2 linked regions of the Elephas maximus indicus genome follow. The protein of the gene in region 1 purifies or fractionates together with the protein of each later gene. This does not show direct contact. Links are inferred from orthologs where the notes say so. Each region holds a gene or a part of one and is shown on either strand. Other genes may lie near its edges.

Region 1 (16,081 bases):
GAGGGGACAGATACAGATTAGCAAGCCGCACTCAACCACCTCCCCTTGCTCCTGTCTGGCTCAGGGTGAAAGTCAAAGCCCTACCGTGGCCTATGAGACCCACATCACCTGCCTCTGTCACCTGTGAGTGCGTCTCCTCCTACCCGCCCTGCTCCAGCTACATGGCCTCCTCAATACTCCTCCAACAGGCCAGGACGCTCCTGCCTCAGGGCCTTTGCATGGGCTGTTCCTGTGTGGAAGTCCCTTCCCCAATGGCCAGCACCTTCACTTCCTTTAGATCTCTGCTCAGACGTCACCTTCCCAGCAAGGGCTCCCTCCCACACCTGTGAGGGGATGAGGTGGAGCCCACCAGGACACTCTGAAGGCTCAGCCAGTGAGGCAGAAGGAGAAAACCAGGAGAGCAGTAGTCCTGCTTGAATCAAGTGTTCAGGAGCAGAGCATGATCACCCGTCTCAGTGGCGGCCAGCGGGGCAGCTAAGGTGAGGCCTGACTGCTAGCCTTGACAAGGGTGGTTTCAGTGGAATGTGTGGGGGTGGGAAATTAAAGTCTGAATAGAGTGGGTTCAAGCGAGCAGGGAGGGAAGCAGAAACAGCACGGACAACGCACTCCAGTAGCAGAGTGACCAAATGTTCCTGTTTGTCCAAAACTGAAGGGTTTCCTGGGATGTGAGACTTTAAGTTTTAAAACCAGGAGAGTCCCAGGCAAACCAGGACAGGTGGTCCCTCTACCCAGGAGTGTGGCCGTAAAGAGATGTAGACAAAAGGGGGAGCTGATGGGGAACGTGGAGGTCAAGGATGCTTTTTACTTTTTAGATAGAACTAACTGCATGTTAGAAACCCTGGTGGCATGGTGGTTAAGTGCTACAGCTGTTAACTAAGAGGCTGGCAGTTCAAATCCGCCAGGCGCTCCTTGGAAACTCTATGGGGCAGTTCTACTCTGCCCTATAGAGTCACTATAAGTTGGAATCGACTCGACAGCAGTGGGTTTGGTTTCTTTTTTTAACTGCATATTAGAGGTGCTTCTATACTGAGAGGAATAGTCCAGAATAAGTGCGATGCTACAGGGGAGTCAGGGAGAGCTCCGAGTGGACCCAGTGTGCTGTGGGTGGCCTTAGACAACCCCTCACCCCTGAGAGAGTAAAGTGTGAGTCAGCTGCAGGTGAGGTGCTGGGATCAGCCATGGGCGGAATGCCAGGACTAGGGGCAGGAGCACACACAAGTTCTGCCTTGACTGCTTCTGTCTTCCCACGAAACAATAAGCCAGACTAAGTTGGCGTGAGTAGAAGGGGAAGAGACAAGAAGGCAGAAAAGATGTCCAGGGCAGCTAGAGGGGGGACAAGCTGGGCCAGGAAGCCAGCCTGCTCAGGGAGCTGAATGCTGTGGGCTCCAGGAAGCGATGTGCTCCTGGTGGCTGTTTCTCTAGCCGCGTTCATCGTTACCAGGTGGGTGCGGACAGGGTGGGGAAGGAAGCAGGACAGGAGAACATGAACAACAGAGGGCTGGAGCTGCTGGTGCTGATCAAGGTAACAATGGTGGGTTAGGGACCTTCTGCAAGTGAGCTGGGAAGGCAGAAGGAAGCAGTCAGAGGATGGAGACGTTCGAAATCTACAGGAGGAGGAGAGGCACCATTACCAATGAGGACAAATCTAGTGAGGGCAGTAGGCCCACACCCTAGCCAGAGATCAGAATTACCGGAGATAATTTTCAAAATCCCAAAGCCTAGATGACACCCAGGCTCTGTGAGGGCAGAACCCAAGTGTCAGTATTTTTTAAAGCTCCTCCGGGGTTTAACGTGCTGCAAAGAACTGGACGAGAACATGACTATGGGGGTGAGTGTGCCAGGTGGAGGGCTAGAGAGCTGAACAAGAGAGCAAGGAACCAAGAGGTCGATGGTAAAGGATCATCATCTGACTGGGCAGAGTGGCCCTGAGTAGGAGCTAGATCCAGGGACTGTGGCTGATACCCACAAAGCCAGTTAGTACGTGATTGTGATCAACGCTGACGGCATGAGCTTCAGGACTGGGGGCTTCGGGCAGGGGAAGGGGGAGATGGCTCTGTGAGTGGCGGGGAGGAACAAAGAGGCGAGGTGGCCAACTGCCCGACTTGGGGGCTGCAGGACAAGGCACAGCCTCAGTGAGGGCCCAGGCTCTGGTCACAGCAAGAAGGAAGAATGTGCAGAGAAAAAGCTAATGGAAGGTTTCTACTTATGACAGATGACAAGTGCCAGAGAGCCCAGATGAAGGATGCAGAGGAGAAGCGAGGGACAGACTCAGCCTTGGCCTCGTGGGCTCTGTGTGAGGAGGATAATGGTCCCACAGGATCACGCACACAATGCACAGAGCACAGGGCCCTTCACCACAGAGGCAGCCAATGGTCTGCTCACCACGGCCCAACCCCACTGACCCTGGACCCACCCAGCCTGTCCTGGGACCCACCCAGCCTGTCCTGGGACCCAAAGAAAGTTACCCAGAAGGCCTGGAAGTGGCAGGTCTCCAGCAGGTCTCCGAGGTATAGAATTTGTCGGATCGGCCGCTCTTCTTGCTGGGAGGAGGAAGCGTTAAGGGAAAACGGCCTTGGAGCCTGAAGAGGCTGGTGTTGGGTCCTAAATCATCCCTCCCCACCTAACTTTTCTTCCAAAGGCCCAGAAGAAGTGGGAAACAAACCCCTCTTATTTCTTCTGTGGACACACGCAGGACAGTGTGTGCCCTATTACCGTAACAGCAAGAGATGAGAAATAACGTATGTGTCCACCGAGGAGAGCGATGCAAATAAACTCAGCATATCCATACTCTGGGATCGAGTCACTCACAGCACCGACGAGGGAGAGCTTGCTGAGACACACAATGACATGAAAAAAGCAAGATGCAGACAAGTGTGCCTAACATCCAACCGTATGGATGGGGAAAAATACGTGCATATAAACACACATCCGTATTTACATAGCCACAGAATACCCGTGGAGCAGTACCCAGGAACTACAAACAACTGCTGCCTCATGGGAATGGAGTGCCGCAGCCATGGGACAGGGGAAGGAAGAAGCCTGGCGTTTTCACTGCCTATTCCCTTGTATTTTTTTGGTATTCTTTCATGCTTTCCAATTTAGGTGCCATATGCCTTTGTTTTTGAAAGCTATCAAAACAGGGTCCTGTCCCTTGCCCGGGCCCCAGTCACAGCCCCCATCCTCTCCTGCTTCTTGCCTGGTGGTGCCTCCTCAGCTGAGAACCCTGAGGGGAATCTGTCTAAAGCATTAATCTACCTGTATTGCTGAGCTTTTTAAAGTGTTTTGTGGCTTCCCAGCACCCTTTTTGAGTCTGACCACATTCCAGTTTAAAACCTATGGCAAGCCTAAGCTGAACTTCCTCTGCCATCTCTAAAAGATGGCACCAAGTTGTTCTTTCCCTCCAGGCCTCCCTACATGCTGTTCCGTCTGCCTGGATCGCCCTTTCCGAGCTCTTCACCTAACTCCTCATCTTTCAAAAGTTCTCTCCTCCAGGAAGCTTCCCCTAACCTCCAGAGCAGGGTGAGGTGCCTTCTCTGGCTCCCCAGCCCTGACCACTCTGAGCTATAACTCACAGGGACCCGTCTGTTTCCTCCAATGGACTGTGAGCTACAGGAGGGCAGGCCCTGGCCTAGAGCAGGCACTCAGTGTTTGTGGATGAAGCCACAGCCACATCCCTGGGAGCTCACCTACACCCACCTCCCCTGCAAACCCTGGCCCCAGAGCTGGAAGGATACGTGTGCCTGGTCGATCATACACTTGCACAGCGTGAAGTCGGTGTGGGGCAGGTTGGTGAGGGCCTTCAGCAGGATCTGCGCAGTGACGGTGGTCTGGAAGAAGGCTGGGTTGAACTGGTACCTGAGAAGGGCAGTAAGAGACACAGCAACAGTGGCACCTCCAGGTCCCCGAGATGCACCAGGTACCCATCAGACTGCCCACTGCTTTGGCCACACAAGGCTGTGGAGCTCGGGAGGTGGACATGCCTGGGCTCCACTTCCAACTGCAACACTTTGTGGCTGCATGACCTTCATCTTCCTCAGCCACACGCTCCTGCTCTATAGAGGAGGACAGTTAATACACACCATCGCCCAACGAGGCAGGTATTGTTATAAGTGATTCACGTATGTAAGAGTATACAACAAGTACCTGGTGCAGTGGTTAAGGATCTAGAGCCAGACTGCCTGGATTTAAACTTCCCGGCTAGGTGACCTCAGATTACGTGTTTTAAATTTTCTGTCCTTCAGTTTCCTCCCTTGCAAATGGGGATAAGAACAACCATACCTCACAGAAACAACAGAGCAATTAAACCAGTTAATACGTACAAAGTATAACACCCAGCTAGCACATGGTGGGGGCTCACTAAGCAGTGATCCTCACCAGTAACAAACCAAACAATCCCACAATTTCAAACATCATCATCCCAGTTTCACAGATGAAAAACCCGAGGCTGCATAATCTGCGAAGATTACCCAGTTGGTCGTGTGTCAAAGAAAATACTTGAGAGAAGTAATCAAATGCCCATCGACAGGAGAAAGGGGAATTAGAATGGAGTCACACACCTTACAGCAACAACAAACTGCTGCTACAAAAAACTGGATGGCACTCACAGATCCACCACTGAGCAGACGCCAGACGCAGGACTCCACGTGTGCAAACTTCAGACGCAAACCTGAGCGGAGCCAGTCAAGACGCAGGCACATGTGGTAAACTATCACATAAAGCCTTGCTGCCAGAGCGAAGAGGAGTTGCCAAAATGGGGGGGGGGGTGAGGTGGTCGGCACAGAGCATGTAGGCAGAGAGCTCCCGGGGCACTAGCGACACCTGACGTTGCTGTATGGATGGCGACTGCGTGAGTGCCTGTTTACAGTTCCTTGTTACCTTGCACATTCATCTTCTGTACTACTATCCTATACACATGTTTCCAATTGGTTTTTTAAAACTCAGCTTCCTTGATTTCCTGGTCTTGCATATCAAGAGAAGCCACATCCTGCAGGCTAACTTCCCAGTCCTCCCCACGTTGAAAGTAGCACCCTGCTGGCTGCTGGCATAGGGATGGGGGCGGGGGCAGATACTCACAGCTTCAGGACAGCGAGGTTGGCTTCCAGGTCATAGGCATTCTCCTTGGCCTGCGTCTCCACATAGCGCTCCAGGGTGGCCAAGTTCTCAGGATTATACCTAGAGGAGGAAGAAAATGGGTAAACAGAAAGGAGACAGGAGCTGAGCCCACTTTACGAGGCCAGGGGGCCACTATGACCTGCTCCTCCCTCCCTTCCTTCCCTCTAAATCTGGCACGGGACACTTGTCCCGCCCCAATCTTGAATCAGCTCCATAATCTCTAATAAAATCTCTCCACATACCAGATCTCTCACCCAAGCTCCAGTCCCACTGGAGCCCTGGGTCTTGTCCTAGATGCCTCCACCACCTTGCAGCCTGTATACCTGGCCCCTTAAACACCTCTGCCACCCAACCCCTTAGCCTCTCTCCAGGCTCCCACCCTGGTTCAGTCCCATCCTTTCCTGTCTGGGTCCCTTCATAGCCTTTCACTGGTCTTCCACCTTTCTCCAGACTCCTCCCGCCACCGCCCCCCATCCACACAATAGAGAAGTCTTTCTAAAGCATAAACGTGACCACGTCCCTCTCCTGCTTAAAATCATTCCATGGCTCCCCAGTGCCCTCCCTCCATGATGTGGCCCCTAAGCTCATTTCCTCTCAAAGCATTTGTCCATAGTGTTTCTTCTGCCCAGAACTCCTTTCTTCCTTTTCTTGCCCAGTTCAAGTCTTCCCATTATCTTTCTTCGCCTGTCTCATTCTCACTTGTCTTTCAGGTCTTAATCTAGACTTCACCACCTTCAAAAAGCCTCCCTTGGCCCAAGCTAGATCAGGTGTCTCCCCTACCTCAGGCTTCCAGAGCCCCCTATATTTCCCCATTCCATTCCGAACCCCCTGCGTGTGCCTCCCCCATCCCAGCCTAACCATTCCCGCGTATCACTCTTATCGCCTCTGGACTGGGAACTCCGTGAAAGCACGGTCTGCAGCTATCTTGGTCAATTCTAAGCCCCAGCATCGCCCAGCACTGACAGAGTCGGTAACAGTGACCAGTGAGTGACATGAGGGGCCAAAAAAGGCGAGGCCGAGGCACTGACACAGTGAGAAACTGAGGAACAGAAACAGAGGGAGAGCAAGTGATAAACAAGGTTCTCTCCTGCCTCTAGACCTCTGCAGTGCTGTCTCCTTAGACATTTCCTCCTCCAGAACGAGACTTCCACATGGAGAATGACAGAGACCCCAGCCCAGGACAGCCACGGGACCCTGACTACCCTTCGATGTCTCCGGAAAGCCCTCTCCTCCACCCCGCTTGGCCAGAAGCGCTCCCCCCAACGGGACTCAGACCTGTCGATACCCTTGAGCAACTTGCCCACGTTCGCTCTCATCTGCTCAAACATTGCCATGGCCACCGGCGCCCCCACACCCGGGCTGGAGTAGCAGACCGCGCCGGCACGGGGCCCTCGAACACCGGAAGCGGAAGGGGTGATGGAAGAAGAAATACGTCATTGTTATCGTCCGGCCCCGGGAGGTGACTCTTGCAGCGGCAGCAGTCACGCTTTCCGGCTACCACGTGACTTCTTCCCAGCAGACGCAAACGGCGCGTGCGCACTCGCTCCATCTGAGCAGGCCCAACGGAGTGAGAAAAAGCTCAGTCTACCGCGATGCGCAGGCGTCTTTTCGGGGCGAGGGGCGGGGTTAAGCTTTTCCCGGGCCTCGCGTTCCTAGTCTCAGGACACCGGCCTGTGTGCCCGCGAACTCTCCGGGCGGGAGTCTGAGCACTAATGGCATACACACTCGTCCTCTTGCACGCGGCTGTGAACTCATACTTGTGCGGGAATGCACGTAGTAGCCCTTCCCTCGGGCCATGGCCAAGTCCCGAGGGGTGTGCTCTCTGAGGTTCTGCCCTCCCCCCTTCCCTCCACCTCCGTCCCAGACGTGGCCGCTAGAGGCAGAATCCTGAGCTCTCCAGTTTCAAGTCCTGGACCGTGGTCCCCATCCTTCATGGCAGCTCCACGGGTAGAAGTTCGCAGGGCTTGAGTAAGGGGCTCCTGGACCCGCTGCATCTTCCCAGTCCCCATTAAGCCCCAGGCTTCGGAGCGAAGGCGAGCAGCCGCAAATGTGCGATCAAGAGCTATGTGTATACAGGCTGCACGCTACAAGCGTGAGCGCACAGACGTGTGTTTCATGTGTTCTGGGTACATGCACGTTTGTGCACACGGGTATACAGACATGTACCACGTCTACAGATTTGCACACCCCACAGGCGGTAACACATAAGTGCATGTATGTATCCCAGGTGAACGGGCAATGTACACTGCGTAGCCATCTCCTGTGCAAACCTGCCACCTCCGTGTAGTGGCCAAACCCTCATGCACACAGCAGAGGTTCAACTATGGTTTTTCACTCCCACCCAGAACTGGAAAGGGGCCTGCTGGGGCACCCCCCCCCGGGTCACAATTAAGATCGTTTGCATCTCATTTACATCCAGTCCTACACCCTAGGGGTGGAGGGGGGTCCCCTGGGTCCTGACAAAAGCTGCCCCTCACAGGCTGTCAGGGCCCAGGGGACAGGGGGTGGAGCTGGCTGCACAGCCCTGTGCTGGGGCAGGAAGCGAGAGTGGGGAGGGGGAAGGCCACAGCCCGCGGAGGCAAGGCGGGTGCAGGGCGTGTAGAGAGGGAAGGAGGTGCCAGCGCTTGAGCCCTGTGGCCCTGCTGGCCCCCTGGGCTCAGGCCCAGCTCCAGCCTCCAGGGATGGACTTCGTGGATCCCGACATCTTTAATAGGGACCCCCGGGACCATTACGACCTGCTGCAGCGGCTGGGGGGCGGCACTTATGGGGAAGTTTTCAAGGTGAGGGGCCCCTTCCCCCACCTCCAGTCTGTCTTCATCACCCTCAAAGCAGAGAAGGCCCGGGAAGGGAAGGGAATGCAAGAGGGCCTGGCCTTGGCTCCGGGATGCTGAGGAGGGACTCAGGCATGTGGCACCCGTCTGACTGCTAACTTCCCCTTACAAGGCTCGAGACAAGGTGACTGGGGACCTGATGGCATTGAAGATGGTGAAGATGGAGCCTGGTGAGGCGAAGATCCAGGAGCTCCCTCCCCATACCCTCACCCCCACCTCCTGGGACACTGGGGCCACCTCCCCCATGACCCCCTCTCTGCAGCCGCTTTTTCTCTCCCCCACCTGTCCTCACAGATGACGACGTCTCCACTCTTCAGAAGGAAATCCTCATCTTGAAAACCTGCCGGCACGCCAACATCGTGGCCTACCATGGGACTTACCTCTGGTAAGGAGACTAAGACCTGCCCCAGGACCCAGCCCAGCCCCCAACCTGTTCCGGGCCCCCAACCTGATCTCTAATCCTGAAGTCTTATTTCTGAACAGGGCATCCCTAACTTGATCCCCAAATCTGGACCCCTGTTTCTGATCAGGATGCCTCCTAACCTGGTCCCTAATTCTGCACTTCCATTTCTGACCTGGGTACCCTAACCTGATCTCTAACCTTGAACCCTCATTTCTCACTGGGGCACCCTCTAATCGGATCCCCAGTCCAGAAATTCCACTTCTGACCACAGGTCCCCAAATTGATCCCTCCATAGTGACTAAATCTGATACCTGAGTCCCCTAAAGCTAATCTCTCATCATCCTGCCCTTTGGGTCCTCCAGTTTCATTCCCTGCTTCTTATGCAGAGAATTGCCCCAGTGATGACCACTATCCCCAGACCTGGCCTCCTGGGCCCCCACCATCCCTTCCCAGCCTCCCCAACCTGTGAGATGCTTGTTTGGCCCAGTCTCCTAGGTTATCACAGGACGCAGAGAGTCTCCTGGGTTTGGAGCACAAAGACTTGGGTTCTAGTCTAGTTGACCCTGAAAGTACATTTCCTCTCTGAACCTCAACTTTGCCATCTGTAAGACGGGAATGGAAAGATCTCACTCTGGTGGGCAAGGCGAGATAGAGAGATGACAGCTGTTACATTAGAGTGCTTGTTGAACCAGAACAAGACAAGAGGTGGACCAGCGGCTCCTTCTTATAAACGATAACATTGCTGCCGCTATTGCTGCCGTCGTTATTATATTGTTACGTTCTTCTATTATTGTGTCGTTACGATATTATTGTCACTTCTGGTTTGTTGTAGGCTGCAGAAGCTCTGGATCTGCATGGAATTCTGTGGGGCTGGCTCTCTCCAGGACATCTACCAAGGTGAGAGGAAGAACAAGGGATCCTCAAATCCACCCCACTTCTCCTGTCTCTCCCTGTCTGTCTTATTTGCATCTCTCTGGGACAGTCTGGTCCCCTGCTTTACACACTGTAGCCCTCCTCTGGCCCTGGCCTGACAATGCTTACTATGCCGCAGTGACCCAGTGAGCCCTGGACCCTGTCCCCAAGGACTTGACAGCCCAGCCTGAGCCTCTCTGCCTTCCATGACCCCCTCACCCTCCACTCTCCATCTTTGTCTCCCTGTCTGCATTTTCGTGCCAGTGTCTCTCAGTGCGGTTGAGTATTTCTGTATTTCTGGTTCATAGTAGGTACTCACGTTTTCACTGAAAATGAATTTCTGGGTCTCTCTCAGCTTGCCTTTCACCCTCTCTGAGAATCTGAGAATTTGAATTTCTGATTCCCTCCAGCTCGAACCTCAAATGTCAGAAAAGGAGGAACGTCATTAGTTCTCAGATGGGGGAAACTGAGGCCCACAGAGAGGAAGTGATTCATAGAGGCAGTCTGTCAGACTTGGTCTGTCTGTCCTGTTTCTTGTCTCTCTCACTTGTTTCCTCTATACCCCTCTGTGTCTTTCTTTTTAAACATGTCTGTCTTCCCACGTTTTAGTCCTTGACCATCTCTTCTTGTCTCAGTCTCAGTTTGGATCTGTCTCTGCATTCCCTCGCTTTGCAAGATCACTTCACTTTCTCGCTCAGAGCCCTCTGCGGCTCCCATTTCCCTCCAAATAGAACCCCAGGTCCTTATCACGGCCCGCAGAGCCTGACCTGCCCCCAAGCTGCCCGACCTCACCTCCTACACTTTCCTTTTCCCCTAGTCAGCTCACCCACCTTCTGTCTTTCAAACTCATCAGGCACACTCCCACCTCCCGGCCTTGGCACTTGCCGTTCCCCCTCGGAGTGGGGCTGCTCCCATCCCTGCCCCGCTGCCTTCTTTTTCCAGAAGCCTTCTCTGACCAGCCTGGGAAGAATTTTTTTAGCCTTCCCCATGTATTACCCATTCTCCTTTCCTGCCTTGTTTTCCTTCTTACCGTGTATTAACATCGCATAGAGTACACCGCTTTTGTATCTTGTTTGCTATCATCTGTACTACTGGTGGAGCCCTGGTGGCTTAGTGGTTAAGTGTTTGGCTGCTAACCAAGCAGTCGATAGTTCGAATCCACCAGCTGCTTTTTGGAAACCCCGTGGGGCAGTTCTCCTCTGCCCTATAGGGTCACTATGAGTCGTTTTGGTTTCCTCCCACTGGAACATTCTTCCCAGGAGAGCAAGGAGCTCAGTTTTATTCACAGCTGTATCCCCAGTGCCATCTGCACCCCTGCCTGTAGACGCTCAATGAAAATCTGCTGGATGAATCTCGGTCTGTGTGTCCCTCCAGCCTGTGTTTCCTTGTATTGCTGCCTCTTTGTTGCTGACCACCCTCTGTTGCCCCTCCCACTTGTCCCAGCCTATCTCCCCCACCCCTGGGGCATGTTCCCAGTCAGTATGGGTGGGGGTCAGGGACACCCAGACCAAGGTTTCTTGGCCGCCCCCCCAATGCTGGGCCATGTCACGTTTGCAGTGACGGGCCCGCTGTCCGAGCTCCAGATCAGCTATGTCTGCCGGGAAGTCCTGCAGGTGAGGAGAGGCCTGGGTGGGCCTGGGTGGGGCAGGGCTTTGCTCACACTCCCGCCCCCACTCACAGCCGCCTTGTCCACCCTCCTCCCCAGGGACTAGCCTATCTACACTCACAGAAGAAGATACACAGGGACATCAAGGTGGTGGTCTGGGGGTGCCGTGCTTTTGGGGGGTGGGGCTCTAAGGGCATAAGGGTGGCACCTGGGGGCTCAGGAAACAGGGTGGTGTTGAGTGTGGGGTGGTGGGCCCAGCCGTGGGCTGTGGGGGGTGTCTCTGACACCCACAGAGCCCGCTCTAACCCCCTTCCCGCCCACCCAGGGAGCCAACATTCTCATCAATGATGCCGGGGAGGTCAGACTTGGTGAGTGCAGCTGGTGGGGGTTGGTAGGGGGACTGGTTGAGGGGCTTGGGTGGATGGGAGACCCCAGGTCACTCTGTCCCTCTCTCTGCCTCCAGCTGACTTTGGTATCTCGGCCCAGATCGGGGCAACACTGGCTCGACGCCTCTCCTTCATTGGGACACCCTACTGGTGAGCGGTCCTTGGCGGGCAGCTAGGGGTGGGGTGGGGGTAGTGGCTTTTCCCACCCTGGTTGTCTAGGAATCACCTTCCTGGCTCCTGCCCCTTATCCCTGCCTCAGTCTTTCTCTGTAGAACATTCCATAGTCCTCTTTGGCTCTCTCTGGAGTTTCACGTTTCTCCACAGGCCTTTCCCTGCCTGTTTCTCTGTGTTTGTGTCAGTTTTTATCTTCCTCTCTCTGCCTGTCCCGCTCTGCCTATTTCTCTCTTTTCCTCCAGGTCAGTCCATGGCTCTCCTGTCCTTTGTTTCTCTCTCACTCTCACACACTGTTTCTCTCTCTATGCTTTTCTGTTCCTCTGTCTTTATCTTTCTGTATCTATTTCTTTTTTTTTTTTTAATTTTTTAAAATTGTGCTTTAGATGAAGGTTTACAAAGCAAATTAGTTTCTCGTTAAGTAATTAATACACATTTTGTTTTGTGACATTGGTTGCCAACCCAGAACATGTCAACACTCTCCCCTTCTCGACCTCAGGTTTCCCATTACCAGCCTTCCTGTCCCCTCCTGCCTTCTCATCCTTGCCCCTGGGCTGGTGTGCTCGTTTAGTCTTGTTTTGTTTTTTGGGCCTGTCTGATCTTTGGCTGAACGATGAACCTCAGGACTGACTTCAGTGCTGAGCTAAAAGGGCGTCTGGGGGCATACTCCTCAGGGTTTCTGTGTCTGTATTTCTTCTCTCTCCGTCTGGCCTTCTATGCCACATCTCCCCTTGCTCCCTTTGCCTGTTCTCCTTCTCCTTGTCTCTCTTCACCCCCAACTCCCCAGGAGTCTCTTCCCCTCTCTCCCCTTGCCCTCCTTGTGCCATCCCTGGCTCTCTGAGGGTCTCTGCCCCCAGGATGGCTCCGGAAGTGGCAGCTGTGGCCCTGAAAGGGGGATACAATGAGCTGTGTGACATCTGGTCCCTGGGCATCACAGCCATCGAACTGGCCGAGCTAGAGCCCCCGCTCTTTGACGTGCACCCTCTCCGGTAGGTGTTAGAAGCCCCCTGGGGCTTCAAGATCCCATCCAGCCCTGACCCTGAATCCTCCTCCCCAACCTGCTTTGCCACATCAAGATCTCCCTACAGGAGACCCCTGTTCCTCGAGCCCAGTCTGAGATCCCCGAGGGTTCCCCCAATGCAAAAAGCCTTATCTTCAGTCCCATACACTACCCAAACCCAGTGCCGTCGAGTCGATTCCGACTCGTTATCCCATAGGGGCCCCCAAAGCCAGGTCCTCATCTTGAGCCTCCTTCTGCAGATGCCATAGATCTATGATGTGATCAATGGCTCCCCCTAGAGGTGGCATCCTTGTGTGTTGTAAAACCTGAACCTCCTTCTCATCCTCTCCCTGACCTCAGTGCTGTCTGGGAGGGTCTGGGGACCTCTCATGCCATGAGGTCTGACCCCCAAGTAGGGATGTGAACCTCATGTTCCCTTCCTACTCCTCTAGAGTTCTGTTCCTCATGACCAAGAGTGGTTACCAGCCCCCACGGCTGAAGGAAAAGGGTAAATGGTGAGAGAAGCTGATAGGAGGGAGAGCAGAGGGAGGGAGGGAGGGCGGCGGAAGGGAGGGAGGGCAGAGGCACGGTTGGTTGGTCTGATGGGAAGGTCTCTGGTCCCCTCACTCCAGAACCTGGTTTCTCTCTCCCAAGGTCGGCTGCCTTCCACAACTTTGTCAAAGTTACCCTCACTAAGAACCCCAAGAAACGACCTGGCGCCACCAAGATGCTCAGTGTAAACCTCCACTCTATGAGAAACCCTCCCCCCCAAGTCTTGTCACCCCTAGAAATCCCCAGGGCTTTCCACAACTTCCTCATGGTCCTTTCAAAGTCTCTGTCGTTGTTGTCACGTGCTGTCAAGTTGGTTCCGACTTATAGCCACCCTATAGACAGAGTGGAGCTGCCCCATAGGGTTTCTGAGGCCATAATCTTTACTGGAGCAGATCGCCAGGGTTTTTGCCCTGTGGAGCAGCTGGTGGATTTGAACCACCAACCTTTGAGTTAGCAGCTAAGCGCTTAGCCATCGTGCCACCAGGGCTCCTTTCAAAGTCTTTAGTTCCCCCAGAATTTCCCAGAATCTGCCAAATCCCTCCAAATTGTACCCCAGACTTCTCCAAGGTCCCCTGAGTTGTTAGAGTGCACACATTTCCAAGGGCCTCAAAACCCAATCCTGAATGCCCTCTTGAATTCCAGGGGACCCTCAGTTCTCTCCAAGATACCTCTGGAATGCTCTAACCCCCGCCTCTTAGGAATCCTAAAGTTTTCTAGTCCCTTAAAATTACTCAGAATTCCCAGGTCTCTGAATTCTCCAGACTTCCCTGCCCTTTCCCTCAATTGGCAGCTCCCCTCCAGATCCCCTTAGATAAGTTCTCAGGATCCTATGCCAGCCCTTTGCCCCACACCAGCCCTCTGTGTGCTGACCCTCTCCTACCCCTCCCCCAGCATCAACTGGTATCCCAGCCTGGGCTAAACAGAGGCTTGATCCTAGACCTTCTTGACAAACTGAAGAATCCGGTGAAGGGGGCCCCAGTTGGTGAGACTGAGGACGAGGAGCCTGAGGTGAGGAGTCCTGGCTGACGAAGGTACTGGAACCTCCTGGCCTTTGCTCAGGCTGTTCCTTCTGCCTGGAGTGCCTTCCTGCTGCCTCCCTCAGGAGGAGAAAAGGGGAGGAGGGATGAGGAGCTTGGCCCAGGGCTGTGTACACAGAGGGTTATGGAGAGAAGAAGGCTCGGGGGTGGGCCCACGGGTTGCTGCAGGGCTCTCTGGGGCCTTGAGCACTGATACAGATGTCCATTGACCCAGCCACCCCCTGCCATCCCTCGGCGGATCAGATCCACCCATCGGTCCAGCTCTCTGGGGATCCCAGATGCAGACTGCAGTCGTGAGTAGAGAATACTTAAGCTTGGAACACCTGATCCTATCATAGATCTAGGAGACCCCATCACACTCTGTCAGGCCCCACAGATGCTCATCACCACCCGATCCACAAAATGACCACAGGGACCTCTCACTTCCCTGATCTGCAGACAGACCCCCCTCACCACCCTGACCCCAAAAAAGACCTGCGAAATCTTTATCTCAACTCCTGATGGCCGGACAGACCCCAGAGACTCACCGAGCACTGCCCCTGACGTCCAAAAACATCTCACAAACCTCTATAACCACTTGGAGCCCCCATCTCCCTGATCCCAAACCCTGACCCCCAAATGAGACCCCGGTGAACCAAGATGCCATCAAGGGTAGTTCCAATCCCTACCACCCTGACTCCAACCCACATTCTATTCTTTCTGTCCCCAAATCCATCTTTACAACCCCCAACCCCACGTTACCTCTCTTTCCCCACCTCCCAGGGCGGCACATAGAGTTCAGGAGGCTCGGAGGAATGGAGACCAGACCGCCAGCCCACACTGTGAGACGCCTCCCCCAGCTCTCCCCAGACGCTCCCTTCTTCCCTTCAGCCACTGCTGAGCCTTCCCCTATCCCGCAGGCACTCTGCCAGCCCCCTGGAGACAGCAGGAGCAGCAGTCCCAGGTCAGGGACCCCCAAGGTGGCAGGGGAGGGGGCTGGGATGTGTGTGGGAGCTGCCTGAGGCTCATGCTTGTCACTCTTCAGGAGGCACCTCTCAGAGTCGGATGATGACTATGACGACGTGGACATGTAAGGAGAGCCCTGGCCCAAAGCCTCACACACTCCCCTCTTCCTGCAGTCCCCCAGCTTGACTCCCTACCTTCCTTCCACCCCTGATCCCTGACCCCAACTGAACCCACAAGGCAGTCACCACCTTGCTTCACCCTCAAGCCAACATCCTACCTGGCCCTCACCTTCCTTCATCCCTAGCCCCTGATCCCCAGCCCCATCCCAACTCAGCTCCTACCCACCTTCACCCCCAACCTCAGCCTCCTTTCCTTTTGCCTTCTTGAATGATCTTTGACCTGACCCCCAACTTCAGCTCCCACCTGCCCTCAACCCCAGACCTGACCCCAGTTCCTTCTGAATGTCCTGAGATCTTTCCCCACCCTCCGACTCAACCCTGGACCCTCAATCACAGACTAGTCTCTAACTCCTTCCAGATGTTTCTCCAACCCCCAGGCCCAGACCAAGACCCCAACTTCAGCCCCAACCCTCAACTCCAGGCCCTCATCTTTTTTCATATCTCACCCAATCTCAGACTGAACCGTAGCCCCTGGAAATTTCCTCAGTGCAAGACCCTCAGGCCCAGATCCAAACCTCAGCCCTAACGGGTCAGCCCATGCCTCCATCTGCACCAGCCCGCAGGCCCTGTGTCAGCTCAGGGCCCACTCATTCATTCCACACCTCTTGTATGTAATGGGCTTATATACGGTGCTGGGCACGAAGCAGGAACCTGATTCACAGGAGCTAGTATTACTAGTATCTGTGTTACTAGGTGGCTGTGAAGATTCGAAGAGCTTAGCACAAGACCTGACATGATGTTCATATTCGATATCCAAGAGCTGCTCTTACTGTTGTCAACATGGCTATTAGTCTTTTAATCCTCAGCTTCAGCCTAGACGGAGTCACCCCTTACCTTTCTGACCTCAGACCCCATTCCCAGATCTCCAGCCTCCAGCCCTGAATCACCCCACCTTCCCCCAGTCCTTGTTCCCCATACCCCGCCCTTATCCCGTCTTTGTATTTCAG
Region 2 (16,007 bases), on another chromosome or scaffold:
TTGTAAACCTTCACTTAAAGCACACACACACAAAAAACCCTTCTATTTTCTGATAAGACATTAATTCTCCAGCCCTGGCCCTGGAGATCAATCAGTACTCTAAGGAGCTCTGATTCAGTCTTTTAGTGGTGAATGGTATTTACAAATCACGATGTGGGCACTAGAATTGTATTTAGAAACCAAGATCCCTTCATTACTATTAGGATATCACTGCTCCCAGGCCCTCCCAGAGCTAAGAAATGAATGTACACTCATGCACACACACACACACATTTACATTTATTTCTGTGTCTATTTATACATACTGAAGAACATGAGTTCAGATCAATGTCTCCAATTCCAATCCAGTACAACAGGACTCATTCTAGTTTTCACCCTTTCTGTATCTGCTAACCGAAAGGTGGGCCGTTCAAATCTACCAGCCACTACTTGGAAACCCTGTGGGGCAGTTCTATTCTATCCTATAGGGTCGCTATGAGTCAGAATCGACTTGATGGCAACAGGTTTGTTTTTGTTTTTTTCTCTGTCACTGGAGCCCTGGTGGCACAGTGGCTAAGAGCTCAGCTCTAACCAAGAGGTTGGCAGTTCAAATCTACCAGTTGCTCCTTGGAAACCCTATGGGGTAGTTCTACTCTGTCCTATAGGGTCACTATGAGTCGTAATCGACTCGGTGGTGATGGGTTTTTCTGTCACTGAGAAATCTGATTCCCATTATCCTTAGTATATTTACGCAATTGATCAGGTCCGTACTTGTAACCAATCTCTGTTTCTGACTCCTACCTCTCTCCTATGAATGCTCTCCTTACCCAACTTGAGCTCTGACAGCTCGTGCCAGGCTGCCGCCTCATCTTCAGGACACCTGCATGCTGCTGAGGCTCTGTCACACAGTGCCATGCCAGGCCACTATACTGTGTAAACACCTTCCTTGCCTGGCTGGGGCTCTGACATCTGTTCTGGGTGCCTCCCTCCCCGCGCTGGTGCAGAATTCTACCTAGTTTTGCTCTACCTAACAATTTTAGGACTGAATTTTTCAGGAAGGGAGAGAAGAGGAAGAGGTAGAGCTGTCAATGGTTTTAAAAATAAATTTCTAAGCCAAACACCTCACGAGGGTTGATTTTCTGGATTTGAAGGCTTAGGACCATACTCTCATGGGACAACTCAGTTAAATGGCATAATATAGTTTATAAAGTATATGTTCTACATCCCAATGGGGTGAGTAGTGTCTGAGGTCTTAAAAATTTGTGAGCGGCCACCTAAGATACAGGTATTGGTCTCATCCGGAACAAAAGAGAAAGAAGAAATCCAAAAACTCAGAGAAGAAAGTAGTCTACAGGACTAATAGTCTACACAAACCACAGACTCATCTACCCTGAGACCAGAACTATGTGGTGCTTGGCCATTGCTACTGACCATTCTGATCAGGGCCACATTAGATGGATTCTGATAGAATGGGAGAAAAATGTAGAACAGAACTCAAATTCTTAAACAGTCCAGACTTACTGAACTAGTTGAGGCTAGAGGACTGCCTGAGACTATCACCCTGAGATACTCCTTTTTTTTTCTTTTTTTGAAACAGATTTATTGAGATATAATTCTATAGCAAACAATTCACTCATTTCAAGTGTACAATTTAGTGGCTTTTAGTATATTCACAGAGTTATGTATCACCAGAATTTTAGAATATTTTCATTATCACATAAAGAAATCCCACACCACTTAGCCATCATCCCTAATTCTCCCATGACCCCCAGCCTTAGGCAACCACGAATTTACTCTTTGAGATTAAAAAAAAAAAAATTTCTATTGTGCTTTAAGTTAAAGTTTACAAATCGTCAATCTCTCATACAAAATCTTATATATACCTTGCTACATACTCCCAGTTGCTCTCCCCCTAATGAGACAGCCTGCTCCCTCCCTCTACTCTCTCTTTTCGTGTCCATTTTGCCAGCTTCTAACTACCTCTACCCTCTCATCTCCCCTCCAAGCAGGAGATGCCAACATAGTCTCAAGTGTCCACCTGATCCAAGAAGCTCACTCCTCTCCTCACCAGCATCCCTCTCCAACCCATGTCTAGTCCAAACCCTATCTGAAGAGTTGGCTTTGGGAATGGTTCTTGTCCTGGGCCAACAGAAGGTCTGGCGGCCATGACCACCAGGATCCTTCTAGTCTCAGTCAAACCATTAAGTCTGGTCTTTTTATGAGAATTTGGGGTCTGCATCCCACTGCTCTCCTGCTCCCTCAGGGGTTCTCTATTGTGCTCCCTGTCAGGGCAGTCATCAGTTGTAGCCAGGTGCCATCTAGTTCTTCTGGTCTCAGGCTGATGTAGTCTCTGGTTTATGTGGCCCTTTCTGTCTCTTGGGCTCATGATTACCTTGCGTCCTTGGTGTTCTTCATTCTCCTCTGATCCAGGTGGGTTGAGACCCACTGCTGCACCTTAGATGGCCGTTTGCTACATTTAAGACCCCAGATGCCACTCTCCAAAGTAGGATGCAGAATGTTTTCTTAATAGATTTTATTATGCCAATCAACTTAGATGTCCCCTGAAACTATGGTCCCCAAACCCCCACCCCTGTTACTCTGGCCTTCGAAGCATTCTGTTTATTTAGGGAACTTCTTTGCTTTTGGTTTAGTCCAGTTGTGCTGGCCTTGCCTGTATTGTGTGCTGTCTTTCCCTTCATCTAAAGTAGCTCTTATCTACTGTCTAATTAGTGAGTACCCCTCTCCCTCCCTCCCTCCCTCCCTCCCTCCCTCCCTCCCTCCCTCCCTCCCTCCCTCCCTCCCCACTCTCATAACTATCAAAGAATATTTTCTTCTCTGTTTAAACTATTTCTTGAGTTCTTATAATAGTGGTCTTATACAATATTTGTCCTTTTGCAACTGACTAATTTCACTCAGCATAATGCCTTCCAGATTCCTCCATGTTATGAAATGTTTCACAGATTCATCACTGTTCTTTACTGACGCGTAGTATTCCATGGTGTGAATATACCATAATTTATTTATCCATTCATCCACTGATGAGCACCTTGGTTGCTTCCATCTTTTTGCTATTGTTACGTGCTGCAACGAACATGGGTATGCATATATCTGTTCGTGTGAAGGCTCTTAATTTCTCTGGGATATATTCCAAGGAGTGGGATTGCTGGATCATATGGTAGTTCTATTTCTAGCTTTTTAAGGAAGCGCCAAATCGATTTCCAAAGTGGTTGTACCATTTTACATTCCCACCAGCAGTGTATAAGTGTTCCAATGTCTCCACAGCCTCTCCAACATTTATTATTTTTTTGTTTTTTGGATTAATTCCAGCCTTGTTGGAGTGAGATGGAATCTTACTGTAGTTTTGATTTGCATTTTCCTAATGGCTCATGATCGTGAGCACTTCCTCATGTATCTGTTAGCTATGAAAGTCTTCTTTAGTGAAGTGTCTGTTCATATCGTTTGTCCATTTTTTAATTGGGTTATTTGTCTTTTTGTAGTTGAGTTTTTGCAGTATCATGTAGATTTTAGAGATCAGGAGCTGATTGGAAATGTCATAGCTAAAAACTTTTTCCCAGTCTGTAGGTAATCTTTTTACTCTTTTGGTGAAGTCTTTGGATGAGCATAGGTGTTTGATTTTTAGGAGCTCCCAGTTATCTACTTTTTCTTCTGCCTGTGACACCCTTTAAACCATAAACCAAAATTATCCCTTGAAGTTACCTTTTGGCTGAATAACAGATTGGCTCATAAAATAGAGAATATCACCTGTGAGTAATGAACTTCTTTTAAAAAATCATCCTTAGGAGACCAAATGGTCAAAAATCACTCTAAAGCAAAGATGAGAAGGGGCAGGGAAACCAGAGCACTGGAAATGGTACAACCAGAATGCAATGAATGAGAATGATGACACATTGTGAAAAATGACTGCAAACCACCTAACTATATCCCACCAAATCCAAACTAAATGTATCCCCAAATTAACTTCTCCTTCACCAGAGTCCAAAATTCCTGTGGCCTCTCCAACATCATCCGATTTGCGAGGAAGTGTGATAGAGGGGGAGGTTAGAGTGGGAAGAAACAGTGGTCTTAACTGATTGCAGTTAAAAAGTCTTATTTTTCCAAATTCAAAAGAAAAAAAATGTATTTGATCCTGTGAAGACATTGCTGGGGCCTCACCCAGTGCCTTGAATAGGGCCATGCAAGTGTGAGGTCCTGTAGTTCAAGCTTCATTGCTTCACAGAAAATCCGCCTCTGGTGGTGCCTATCCTGGGCATTTACAAGGCTCAAAGGAGGTGTCTGTGAGGACATGAAGGACCTGACACACAGCAAGTACTCCACAAATGATGGTGATTATTATTACTGTTGTTGTTGCTGCCGTCCTCATTTTCTAGGAGGCTAGAGGAGAAGGAGACCCAGAGCAGGGATGAGGCCCTTCTGCAGGTGTCATGGCAAAGCTGGGCTGGAAGTTGGGTTCCTGGCTCTAAGTCTTGAGTTCTTTGCACTGCAGTGGATTGTGTTTTCTGAGCCCTTTGTGTGGCCTAAAGGCCAGGGTGACAGTCCTAGAGGTCTTGGAGGGTGAGGAAGGCCTCAGTCATTTGTTCAGAGGGGTGGAGGCATGTGTGGGGCAGAGAGTCCATCAGCTGCTCTCTGACCAGGCCCTACCCTTAGTCTGATGAGGGGAGGGCAGAGTCCTGCCCTCAGAAGCCCTCTGCCTGATATGGAAGACAGTCCTGCCCTGGGGAACCCCAAATCTGATTGAGTGACCGAGGCCAGCCCTCAGAGACCATAGTCTGAAGTAGGAGATGAGCCTTGCTCTTGGGGGCCCTCAGTCTGATGGGGGAGACATAGGCCAACCCTCAAAAGTCCCCATTCTGCAGAGAGAGATACAACTCTGGTCTCAGTACCTCCAACTCTGATAGAGGAACCAGGACCCCCCGTATCACTGGGGGGAGAAAATACAAAATAGATTGGTGGAGCTGAGTAGCTTGAATTGGGAAGGTTTTCTGGAATCCCCGGCAATGCAAACGATTAACACACTCAGCTGCTAACCAGAATTCTGGGGGTTTGAGTTCACCCAGAAGAAAGGCCTGCTGATCTACTTCCTAAAAATCAGCCATTGAAAGCCTTAGGAGTCATAACCATACACCTCACTGGGCTTGAGAGCTAGGAATCATAGTCTTGGGGGACATCTAGGTTAATTGGCATATCAAAATCCATATAGACTGTGTTCTACATCCTACCTTGGTGAGTAGCGACTGAGGTCTTAGAAGCTTTCAAGTAGCCATCTAAGATAAAACAATTGGTCTCTTCCCATCTGGAGCAAAGAAGAGTGAAGAAAACCAAAGACTCAAGGGAGCAATTAGTCCACAGCCAACATTAGCTTGAGACCAGGAGAACTAGATGGTGCCCAGCTACCACTAACAATTGCTCTGACTGGGACCACAATAGTAGGTCACGGACGAAGTGGGAGAGAAATGTAGAACAAAATTCAAACTCATAAATAAGACCAGACTTTCTGGTTTGATAGAGACAGGTGGAACCCCGAGACTATGTCCCTTAGGCATCCTTCAAACTTCGAGTTGAAATCACTCTCGGAGATCACATTATAGCCATACAATAGACAGGTCTATAAAATGAATGCCCTGAGGCATATACACCTCAGAACAATCAACTATCTGTGAGATCTAAAGGGCAGCATTTGCCCAAAAGCAAAGTTCAGAAGGAAGTAGGGGCAGGAAAGCTGGGTGGATGGACACGGAGAAGCCAGGGAGGAAGTGGGGAGAGTACTGACACATTCAGGGGTTTGCAACCGATGCCACAAGACAAGCTGTGTACAAATTGTTGAATGGGAAACTAATTCGCTCTGTAAGCTTTCACCTAAGCAACAATAAAATGTCCAAATACAAAGACAGAAAGAAAACCCTGTGGAGCACAGTTCTACTCTGACACACATGGGGTCACCATGTATTGAAATTGACTCAACAGTTTTTTTTCTTTTTTCCTTTTTCTGAAGGAAAAGTTAATGATAATATTCTCTCGTCTGTACAGTACTTTACATTTCTAAAGCACTTTCACAATTATCTCAGTTAGTCCTCACATAACAATGGGGTTAAGGTGTGACTATTCAAGCAGGAGCAACAATCATCATTCTAATAATTGTAATGACTGCCACTTATTGAGCACCTGTGCCAGGCACGGGGCTGCATATTATCTGTAAAATTAAAGAGAGACCAATGAGATAAGGTGTTTGAAAATGCTTTACAGTCCCATGACCAGGGTGCACATGTTTGCTCTTGGTGTGTACAGAGGCCTCAGACTGGTGGAGGTGCGGCTGGGAGATCTGGAGTGCAGAGGGCCTGGCTTTAGGCTTGGAACTGGGAGATAGCCAGCACTAGGCAACTTCTCATTCCTGGAACGCGTCATGCACCTTCATGCCTCAAAGATCTTGTTCATGCTGTTCCTCCTGCCTGGGATGCCTTTCCCTTGCCCAGTCTGTTTGGTAAGCTCCTGGTCACCCTTCTTGGTCTAACTCAGTGTTACTGTCCACAGCCTTCCCGCCTTTCCCTCTCCACCTCTCCAGCAGCATAAATTGCTCCATCTCTGAGTTCCCAGGTCATCTAATCCACACTCCTAATATAGCATTTAGCTCACAGTGCTTGTTATGCATTGAATTGTGTTCCCAAAAAAATGTGTCAGCTTGCCTAGGCCATGAGTCCCAGTATTGTGTGGTTGTCCACCATTTTGGAATCTGATGTGATTATCCTGTGTGTTGTATAAATCCTAACCTTTACGATGTGAATGAGGAAGCATTAGAGGCAGTTATGTTAATAAGGTAAGACAGAATCTACAGGATTATGCTGTATCTTGAGTCAATCTCTTTTGAGATATAAAACAGAGAAGCTAGCAAAGAGGAGTGAGACTTCATACCATCCAGAAAGAAGTGCCAGGAGCAGCACATGTTCTTTGGACCTGGGGTCCCTGCGCAAAGAAGCTCCTGGACCAGGGGAAGATTGATGACAAGGAACTTCTCCCAGAACTGACAGAGAGAGAAAGCCTTCCTGGGGAGCTGGAGCCCGAATTCAGACTTCTAGCCTCGTAGACTGTGAGAGAATAAATTTGTTTGTTGAAGTCATCCAATTGTGGTATTTCTGTTACAGCAGCACTAGATAATTAAGACAGTGCTGTACTTACACACTTAACTGCTGGTGGTAGTGTTCAAACATTGATATGGTCAGAGGTCATTAGAGGAGGCTGACTGGTCATCTAGACGCCATCTTGGGCAAAGTTTATCATCTAGGTGAATTCTTCTGGGTCTAAGATCAGGGCTGGTTTCTCAGGGAGGAGTCACATAAAACAGTGATGGGAATTGACTTATAAAGTCAGAATGCCAATTTAGGGAGGCAGAACTCTAAGACGAAATGGGTAAGTGTGTCGGCTCTGGGGCCAGGCTGCCTGGGTTTGGATCCTGGCTCTCCCTTCCAGATATGTGACCTTGAGCACGTGACCTCTCTGTCCCTATATCTCACCCTCTAAATGGGAATGATAAGAGCATTTACATCATAGGAGCATTGTAAGCAAAAGTCATGGACATTTAATCTATATATCAGGATTAATAAAGACTTCGCAGAGGAAGTAGCATTTGGACTGAGACCTGATGGATAATAATGAGTTGGCTGGCAAAGGCTTAGGAATCAGGACAGGACATTTTAGGAACTGAAAGAAGCCATTGAAGAGGGAGCCTGGTGAGTAAAGGTGGGCTTGGGACAAAATGAGACTGGCGAGGTAGCCAGGGCCCTGATGGTGTTGCTCCTTAGAGGTCGTGCTTGAGAGTTTGGAATTAATCCTGAATGCTATGGCTATCCACTAAAGGGCTAATTTTAAGCAAGGGAGTAACAAGATACGTTTTACATCTTAGAAGGATTGCTCTGGCTGCTGGGTGGGGGATGGATTATTAAAAGGGACAAGAAAAGTAGTAAGGGGACCAGTTAGGAAGCCACAGGAGTAGCTGTCCAAATAAGAGATGTACTGGCTTAGGCTGATGTGGCAGCAGCAGAGATGGTGAGAAGGCAACAGAATCAGGATGTATTTTGGGGAGAGACAGACAGTACTAATAAATGAGTCTAGAACTTGGCTGGAGTCTCTGAGTGACACAAATGGTTAAGTGCTCAACTACTAACCAAAAGGTTGGTGGTTCGAACCTACCCAGAGGCACCTTGGAAGAAAGGCCTGGCAATCCGCTTCAGAAAAGTCAGTCTTGAAAACCCTAGGGAGCACAATTCTACTCTGGAATACATAGGGTCACCATTTTAGTTTAGCATTGGGCTTGAGAAAATGGGTGGAGGTTTTGCCTTTGGCAAATGAGTGCTTGAATGGGGCACTTAAGTCAATGGGGAAGATTTTGGGAAGAATTAATTTGTTGTGTCTATCCAATGGCATACAACAACATGAACAAGGCCCGCTGCCGTGAAGTCAAATCCAACTCATACCAACCCTATAGCACAGACTACAACTGCCCCATAGGGTTTCCAAGGAGCGGCTGGTGGATTTGAACTGCCGGCCTTTTGCTTAGCAGTCGTAGTTATAAACCACTGCACCACCAAGGCTCCACAACAACAAAGGGGGAGTATTAATGTTGGCCATGTTAGTTCTGAGATACCTACTAACTCCAATGGAGGTGTCCAGGTGGCAGTCCAATAGACGAGCCTGGAGCTCACAAGAGGTTTGGGTCAGAGATGTCAATTTGGGCTTCATTAGCATGTAGTTGGTAATTATAACCATTGCATTCAGTGAGATCACCTAAGGAGAGAGTATAGATAAGAATAGAGGAGAGAGCAGTGGCTAGAACCTCCAATATTTACAAGTCTGCGCAGCACAAGACACTGAGAGAGTGTTAGAGAGGTGGAAAGAAAACCAGGTCCCTGTGGTGACACAGAAGCCTAAAGAAAAAAAGAATTTTCAGAAGAAAGAAGGGGTCAACTGTGTCAAATGCAGCTGAGAGGTCAAGTAAGATAATAGTGGTCCATTGACTTTGACAATGTGTAGGCCATCTGATCTTCATCAAACCTCTTAAGAACAGACTAATTAGAATAAGTTGAAGACCAATGGGAGTTGAGGAAGTAGAGAAACAAGTATAGCAAACTTCTAAAAAAGCTTTGCTGTGAATAAGAGCTAAAAAGTGGGGAGGTAACTGGATCAGAAACTCAGTGCACAGACTATTAAAAAAAAGATACTAAAGCATGTTTGTAAATTGATGGGAATGATCCAAAAGAAATTTGTGATGCAGGAGATTAAAAAAAAAAAAAAAAGGATAATTGCAGGGTTAGGATCCCTGAGAAGACTAAGATGGTGAAATTCATTGCATTAGTAGAGGGACTGGCCTTAGGTGACTGGGACCTGTCCCTCACATTAACAGGAGTCAAAGTAGACTAAAGGGCCGGTTCCATGATCACGGAGTCCGAAATGAAAAGGTAGAACCACTTATTAAAAAATCATTAAGAATTTCAAGACTGTGCCAGCAGAGCATCAAACCAAGTGCGAGGCTTTTCAGACCTGGGACCCTGTGCGGCTTTGGCTGCTCATGAAGCCAGCCTTGGTCAAGTATGTGATGATGACAGAAGTAGGCTGTCGTTTGGGCAAGTTTCTTTTTTCTGGGTCTCAATTGCCTCATGGAAGGGTTGGAAGAGATGATAAGGGCACTTTCATCTCAGCTCCACCGTTCTACAAGTAGGGAACAAGGCAAAGGACCAAAGTTTGTGCCTTTTTCACTTCCAACCCCCCCATATTTGAGCCCAAGGCTTTCTGGAAGGCTCCAAAGCATCTGGTGACCATAGCAACTCACGCCAAGCTCCCCAACTCTGGGCTCCGCCCACCACTTCTTGGATTCGCTTATTGATAGGCTCAGAAAGCCGACCAATGGTCGGCGAAGCGGGCTGCTTCATGCGCAGTCAATGGCCGAGAGAGCGGAGGAAGGCGGGAAGGGAAGGGGAGAAGGCGGGCCGGGGCGTGTGGCAAGTGCGTATTTCCTGCTCCGCTGCGGAAGGCGGAGTGGAGCCGTTGGGCCCGAGGCGACCAGGAGGAGCGTGGATCGGCGGGCGACAGTGCTGAGCGCGGATTTCTTAGCGCGGAAAGGGACAGGCGCGATGGGAGGGGAGCAGGAAGAGGAGCGGTTCGACGGCATGCTGCTGGCCATGGCGCAGCAGCACGAGGGCGGCGTGCAGGAGGTAACCGCCCGCGCGGCGTCGGCCCGGCCTGGTCCGGCGGTGCTGGCCCATTCAGGCGGCCCTAGCCACGCTCTCTCAGCCCTTCTCTGCCCTCGAGGCCCGAGAGCTTCCTCCGGGCCTCACTCGCTTCCGGGACCCCCACCCTCCGACATTCCCACCGCTCTTGAGCTTCCGGTCTGGCCTCCCAGCCAGCGTGTCCCACTCCTCGGGTGTCAATCCCGGCCCCATGGCGCCCTTCAGTAACTTCTAACAAAGTAAACGTGGCATTCCTGACCCGACCCTTTCAGATTCTTCCCCCAGAGCCTTGGTATATGCCCTTGGTCTTACACATGCTTCCAGCCCCGGTACCCCATAGGTGGCTGCTTCCAGAGAGCATCCCTTACGACGAGCCATGCCAGACTCTCATTTGCATCTACCACAACTTGTAGTGAGTCGATGAGTGTGTGCGGGGTGTGTGTGGAGCGATGATGTTAGCACGTGGTTTTTCAGGGTGTGAATGGGGGAGTAGGAGGCTTGTTCTCGCAGTTGATTTCCACTACCTGGGAAGCTTGGGACCGTCCCACCTTTCCAAGCCGCATTTTTCTTATCTCTTAAAATGGAGCTGCAAATCCCTGTTTTCCTGAATCGTTGTAGGAGAGTGGTATCTTGAAGAGCAGTGAGGAGTTATAAATAATCAGGCTTGTTCATTCAGCCAGTGTTTGGTGAATAACGTCTGTCAGACACTCACTGGAGCCCTGGTGGCACAGTGCTTAAAAGCTCAGCTGCTAACCAAAAGGTCAGCAGTTCGTATCTACCAGCTGCTTCTTGGAAACCCTATGGGGGCAGTTCTACTCTGTCCTGTAGGGTCACGATGGGTCTGAATCCACTCTGTGAATGAGTTTTTTTTTTTTTTTTTAAGACACTTTTTTTGGACTCATTGGGCTGGGTCCCGGGGATACGGAGGTGAGCAGAAACTTGTCCTTGCCCTGAAAGAGCTTACAAAGAGCTTTTTTAAAAAGCATAAAGCATGCTGAGCGACCCCGCAATAATAACATGTAGTCTGTGAATGGTAAGGATCAACTAGTGTAGATTCTTGAGTTGGTTTTTTGAAGCAGAAATCTGGAAAGTTAGAGGTAGAACAGTTGTTAAAATCAGTCCAAAGCTTCATTTTATAAATAAAGAAATGGAGACCCAGTGACTCCTGACCTCCGCGAGACCAGACTCCGTAGGCCGTTGTACTTTCCACAGTCCTTTTGCTGATTTTCTTCCTCAGTGGGGACAAGTTTTCATTGACCTATCCATTTCCATTCTTTCACTCAGGTGCCTGTTGTGACCAAGGGCTCCCAAGCCCTTTGAGGTGTGGGGGGTGTTACTAATTTGCAAGTGTGAAAAGGCTCCCCCTCCCCCTGTTCCCCTAAATTGTTGACACAATACCAGGTTTGAGAGAGTTCATTTTTGAGAGAATTGATAACATGTCTACCACCCACCCACTGCCCTCAAGTATGAGTATGAGATAACATGTCTAGAAGTTTCAGTTCCCTATTGAAATTATTGAGGTAAATTCTAGCATCAGATTTAGAACCCTTGGGCGAGTAAAATGGCTTGAATGTGCTAACTCTAGATCACCATTAGATCTGTTCATTCAACAAATATTTTACTGAGCATATACTCTGAGCCTGATATGGTGCCAGACATTGGGGATGTAGACAGGCTAAGTTAGTCGTTCCTGCTGTTAGGGGTTCATCCTTTAGCAGTGGGTCTGTTGTGCTGTGCCATTTACTGCTAAGGGCCTTACCTTCATTACCTCATTTATTCCTCACAAGGTGCCCAGAAATGGGTCCTGCTGCTATTCCTGTTTTACAGAGTTAAGAAACTTCCCCAAGGTCACACAGCTGATAAGTATCAGTCTGAAACTAAAACCCACGTGTCTTAGTCATCTAGTGCTGCTATGACAGAAATATCACACCAGGGTGGCTTTAACAAAGAGAAGTTTATTCTCTCACAGTCCAGTAGGCTAGAAGTCTGAATTCAGGGCACCAGCTCCAGGGGAAGGGTTTCTCTCTCTTTCGGCTCTGGACGAAGGTCCTTGTCATCAGCCTTCCCTTGGCCAGGGGCATCTCAGCACAGGAACCTCAGGTCCAAAGGATGCGCACTGCTCCTGGCACTGCATTCTTGGTGGTATGAGGTCGCCCTGTCTCTCTGCTTGCTTCTCTCTTTTATATCTCAAAAGAGATTGGCTTAAGACACTGTTTAATCTTGTAGACCTTGTCAGTATAACTACCACAAATACATCTTATTACATCATAGTGATAGAATTTACAACGTAGAAATCACATCAGAAGATAAAATGATAGACAATCATACAACCATATAAGGGAATCATGACCTAGCCAAGTCGACAGATATTTTTGGGGGGACATAATTCAATCCATGACACCATGCTCTTAATCACCTGGCTACACTGGTAACCCAACCAGAGTCAGCTGGTCTTGACCTTCTTTTAAGTGGTTTCATTTGCGCCCCCCCGTGCCCCCCCCCCCCCCCCCCCGCCCCAGTTCTGCCCTGGTAGTTTAGCCAGCACTACTGATGGGTTTTTTTTTATTTTTCTGGAGAGGAAGGTTGGGCCCAGACATTTTAAGCTCTGGATACAGAGAACTGAATGTTTCACATCCTCAGGCTACATGTAAACACACACAAGAAGTGAGACCTCCCAGATGGTCCAAAGTTAGAGTAAGCTTCCTGGTGGGAGTGACTAAGGGAACTGGAGGAGGGAGATGTCTCAGTTGAGAGGCTCCAAGGTGAGAGAGTTAAGTCCCAAGCTCCCTCCTAGACTAAGGAAGTTGGCTTCTATTTAGTTGAGAGCCTCCCAATATGGCGTCTCCATAGCTTTAGTTTTCTCTCTTTTCTTTCAGCTTGTGAACACCTTCTTCAGCTTCCTTCGACGCAAAACAGACTTTTTCATTGGAGGAGAAGAGGGTATGGCAGAGAAGGTGAGCATTGGGGGCTGCTGTCCCTTGAGCAGCTCTGTCTCTTCAGAAAAATTCACCTGGCCTTCCTTTGGTATAATAGTAATCTCTAGCGGAAGCAAAATGCCAAGGGCAAGGGGGAGAAGGGATGCAAGTTGTCATTTTTTGAAGCTCCACTGTTAACGATGTACTTTATCCACGTGATTTTCATATGATCCTTAGAAGTTCTGCAAGAGAGGTAGGTGTTACTATCCCATTTTTACAAATGAGGAAAGTGGGTCAGGGATCTTTTGCAACAGAAAAATGGGCAATTCTCAGAAGACTGACAAGTTTCAGACTGACAAAAATCGAAAAGAACATTGCAGTGATGTAGAAGAAAGGACACTTTTTCAGACATTGCTGGTGAAGGTAAATTATTATAGCTTTTAAAAACTTGAGAATATTTCAAACATAAGCAAAGGTAGAGAGAGTAGTCCCAGGAATCCCTGTGTAACCCATCCCTTTGCTACGACAATCGTTAACTCCTGACCACTTTCCTTCAGGTTATTTTGTAGCAAGTTCCAGGCATATTTTTGGATTTGCAAATATTTTGTGAATACCTAAAAAGGATAATTTTTAATCAACATATCTTTAATGCTAATTGATTATAAATTTTCCTTAAAAGAAATTAAAAAAACAAGAATAAACCAGTTGGCTATCAAGTCAGTTTTGACTCATGGTGACTCCACGTGTGCCAGAGTACTGTAGAGCTGTAGTCCATAAGGTTTTCAGAGGTTGATTTTTTGGAAGTAGATTGCTAGGCCTTTTTTTCCATGGCATCTCTGGGTGGACTCGAACCGCCAACCTTTAGGTTAGCAGCCGAGCGTGTTAACCATTTGCACCACTCAGGGACTACATCTAAAAAGAAATAATAATAAAAAAAAGAAATAGCAAATGGTAATTCCTTAAATATCATCCAGTATCCACTTACGATTCATATTTCCCCCAATGCTTTGCTTCTTTATTTCTTTAAAACAGCCTTATTGAGAGAGAATTCACATATCATACAGTTCACCCATTGAAAGTGTACAATTCAGTGGCTTTTGGTATATAGGTTTCCCCTCCTATCCAGAAGTACAGCATTCCTATTACAAACCTTCATAAGCTGAAATGCAGGAAAATGAAGTAATTACTACTACGAAATTTTTGAGTGTTGCCAAATGCAAAAAATAACCTACCAAATCATACCAAATACCACATGAAACCTAAAATAAAACTAACATAGTAAAAACAGAAATGATAAATAAATACACAGCCTATATAAAGTAGATGCTGAATGTAGCTCACGGGGAAGGAGCTTGGTGATGCCACTCTTGGGGTGCAAGCTGCCTCTTTAACACCTCGCTGCAATGCTGAATGCTATTTCCGCTTTTCATCTTTTTTTTCTAGAAGTGAAAATCCTCTTTGGATTTCATTCTTTTAGCAAAAACGGTATTAATGTAGATCTTCCATAAAAGTGAAGTGGTATAAAGCGAACTTTCAAAGAATGGGGGATATCTATATTCACTGATACATGTATCCATCACTGCAGTCAATTTTAGAACGTTTTCATCACTTTAAGAAGAAACCCTGTGTCTTCTAGCTATTATCTATCTACCCCACCCCGTCCAGTCGTCTCCAAAATCTTGTGTGCTGCCGTTGAGTCAATTCCAACTCATAGTGACCCTATAGGACAGAGTAGAACTGCCTGTAGTGTTTCCAAGGCTGTAATCTTTATGGAAGCAGATTGCCGCATCTTTCTCACATGGAGTGGCTGGTGAGTTTGAACCTCTTACCTTTCGGTTAGCAGCCGAGTGCTTAACTACTGTGCCATCAGGGCTCCTTTCCCAACCCTTAAGCAATCCTCACCAATCTACTTTCTGTCTCATAGATTTCTGTATTCTGGACTTTTATATGAATGGAATGATAACACTCTGGTTGGTTGTGACTGGTGTCTTTCACTTAGTATGTTTTCAAGGTTCATTCATGTATCAGTACTTAATGTTTTTATGGCTGAATAATATTCCATTTATGGGTATACCACATTGTGTTTATTCATTTGTTCATTGATGGACATTTGGGTTGTTTGCACTCTTTGGCTCTTATGACTAATGATGCTATAAATATTTGTGACCATCTGTATATATTCTTTGGAGAAATGTCTACTGAAATCCTTTGTCCATTTTTTAATTGGGTTATTTGTCTTTTTATTATTGAGTTGTAAATGTTCTTCGTATATTCTCGACACATGTCCCTTATCAGATGGAGGATTTGCAAATATTTTCTCTCATTCTTTGGATTACTTTTTCACTTCAATGGTATCCTTGGAAGCACAAATGTTTAAAAAAATTTTTTTTTTTTTAATGACTCAGCTCTTCTCTTTTTTATTGTGCTTTAGGTGAAGTTTTACAGCACAAATTAATGTCCACCTCCGGACAGGAGCTGCCAGTTTAGTCTCGTGTATCTACTTGAACTAAGAAGCACAGTCTTCATGAGTATTATTTTACGTTTTACAGTCCAGCCTAATCCTTGTCTGAAGAGTTGGTTTCTGGAATGGTTTTAGTTCTGGGTTAACAGAGAGCCTGGGGGCCATGTCTTCTGAGGTTCCTCTAGTCTCAGTCAAACCATTAAGTCTGGTCTTTCTACATGAATTTGAGTTCTGTGCCCTGCTTTTCTCGTGCTCCACTGGGGACTATCTGTTGTGTCCCCTGTCAGGACAGTCATTGGTGGTGGCTGGGCACCATCTAGTTCTTCTGGTCTCAGGCCGATGGAGTCTCTTGTTTATGTGGCCCTTTATGTCTCTTGGGCTAGTATTTTCTTTGTGTCTTTGGTGTTCTTCAGTCTCTCT

What was found.
Region 2: the proteins of MAP4K1 (region 1) and NUDC purify together in Homo sapiens (affinity purification with mass spectrometry; 3 studies listed by BioGRID and IntAct, with this or other methods). This does not show direct contact. The link is inferred for Elephas maximus indicus from reciprocal best matches to the Homo sapiens genes MAP4K1 and NUDC.

The regions. Positions count from the first base shown.
Region 1 is NC_064829.1:112,987,988-113,004,068, forward strand, and holds the start of MAP4K1 (mitogen-activated protein kinase kinase kinase kinase 1), read left to right. Parts: upstream 1-7,672; 5' UTR 7,673-7,793; coding exon 7,794-7,892; intron 7,893-8,055; coding exon 8,056-8,113; intron 8,114-8,237; coding exon 8,238-8,328; intron 8,329-9,178; coding exon 9,179-9,243; intron 9,244-10,815; coding exon 10,816-10,871; intron 10,872-10,963; coding exon 10,964-11,011; intron 11,012-11,189; coding exon 11,190-11,232; intron 11,233-11,327; coding exon 11,328-11,400; intron 11,401-12,278; coding exon 12,279-12,410; intron 12,411-12,873; coding exon 12,874-12,936; intron 12,937-13,075; coding exon 13,076-13,157; intron 13,158-13,864; coding exon 13,865-13,981; intron 13,982-14,224; coding exon 14,225-14,303; intron 14,304-14,772; coding exon 14,773-14,831; intron 14,832-14,909; coding exon 14,910-14,953; intron 14,954-15,034; coding exon 15,035-15,079; intron 15,080-16,081. Other genes in the region: EIF3K (eukaryotic translation initiation factor 3 subunit K), read right to left, coding at 2,466-2,540, 3,735-3,855, 5,074-5,172, 6,388-6,446. UniProt on the Homo sapiens protein: Serine/threonine-protein kinase, which plays a role in the response to environmental stress. Appears to act upstream of the JUN N-terminal pathway.
Region 2 is NC_064821.1:67,357,570-67,373,576, forward strand, and holds the start of NUDC (nuclear migration protein nudC), read left to right. Parts: upstream 1-10,004; 5' UTR 10,005-10,115; coding exon 10,116-10,196; intron 10,197-13,087; coding exon 13,088-13,165; intron 13,166-16,007. UniProt on the Homo sapiens protein: Plays a role in neurogenesis and neuronal migration. Necessary for correct formation of mitotic spindles and chromosome separation during mitosis. Necessary for cytokinesis and cell proliferation.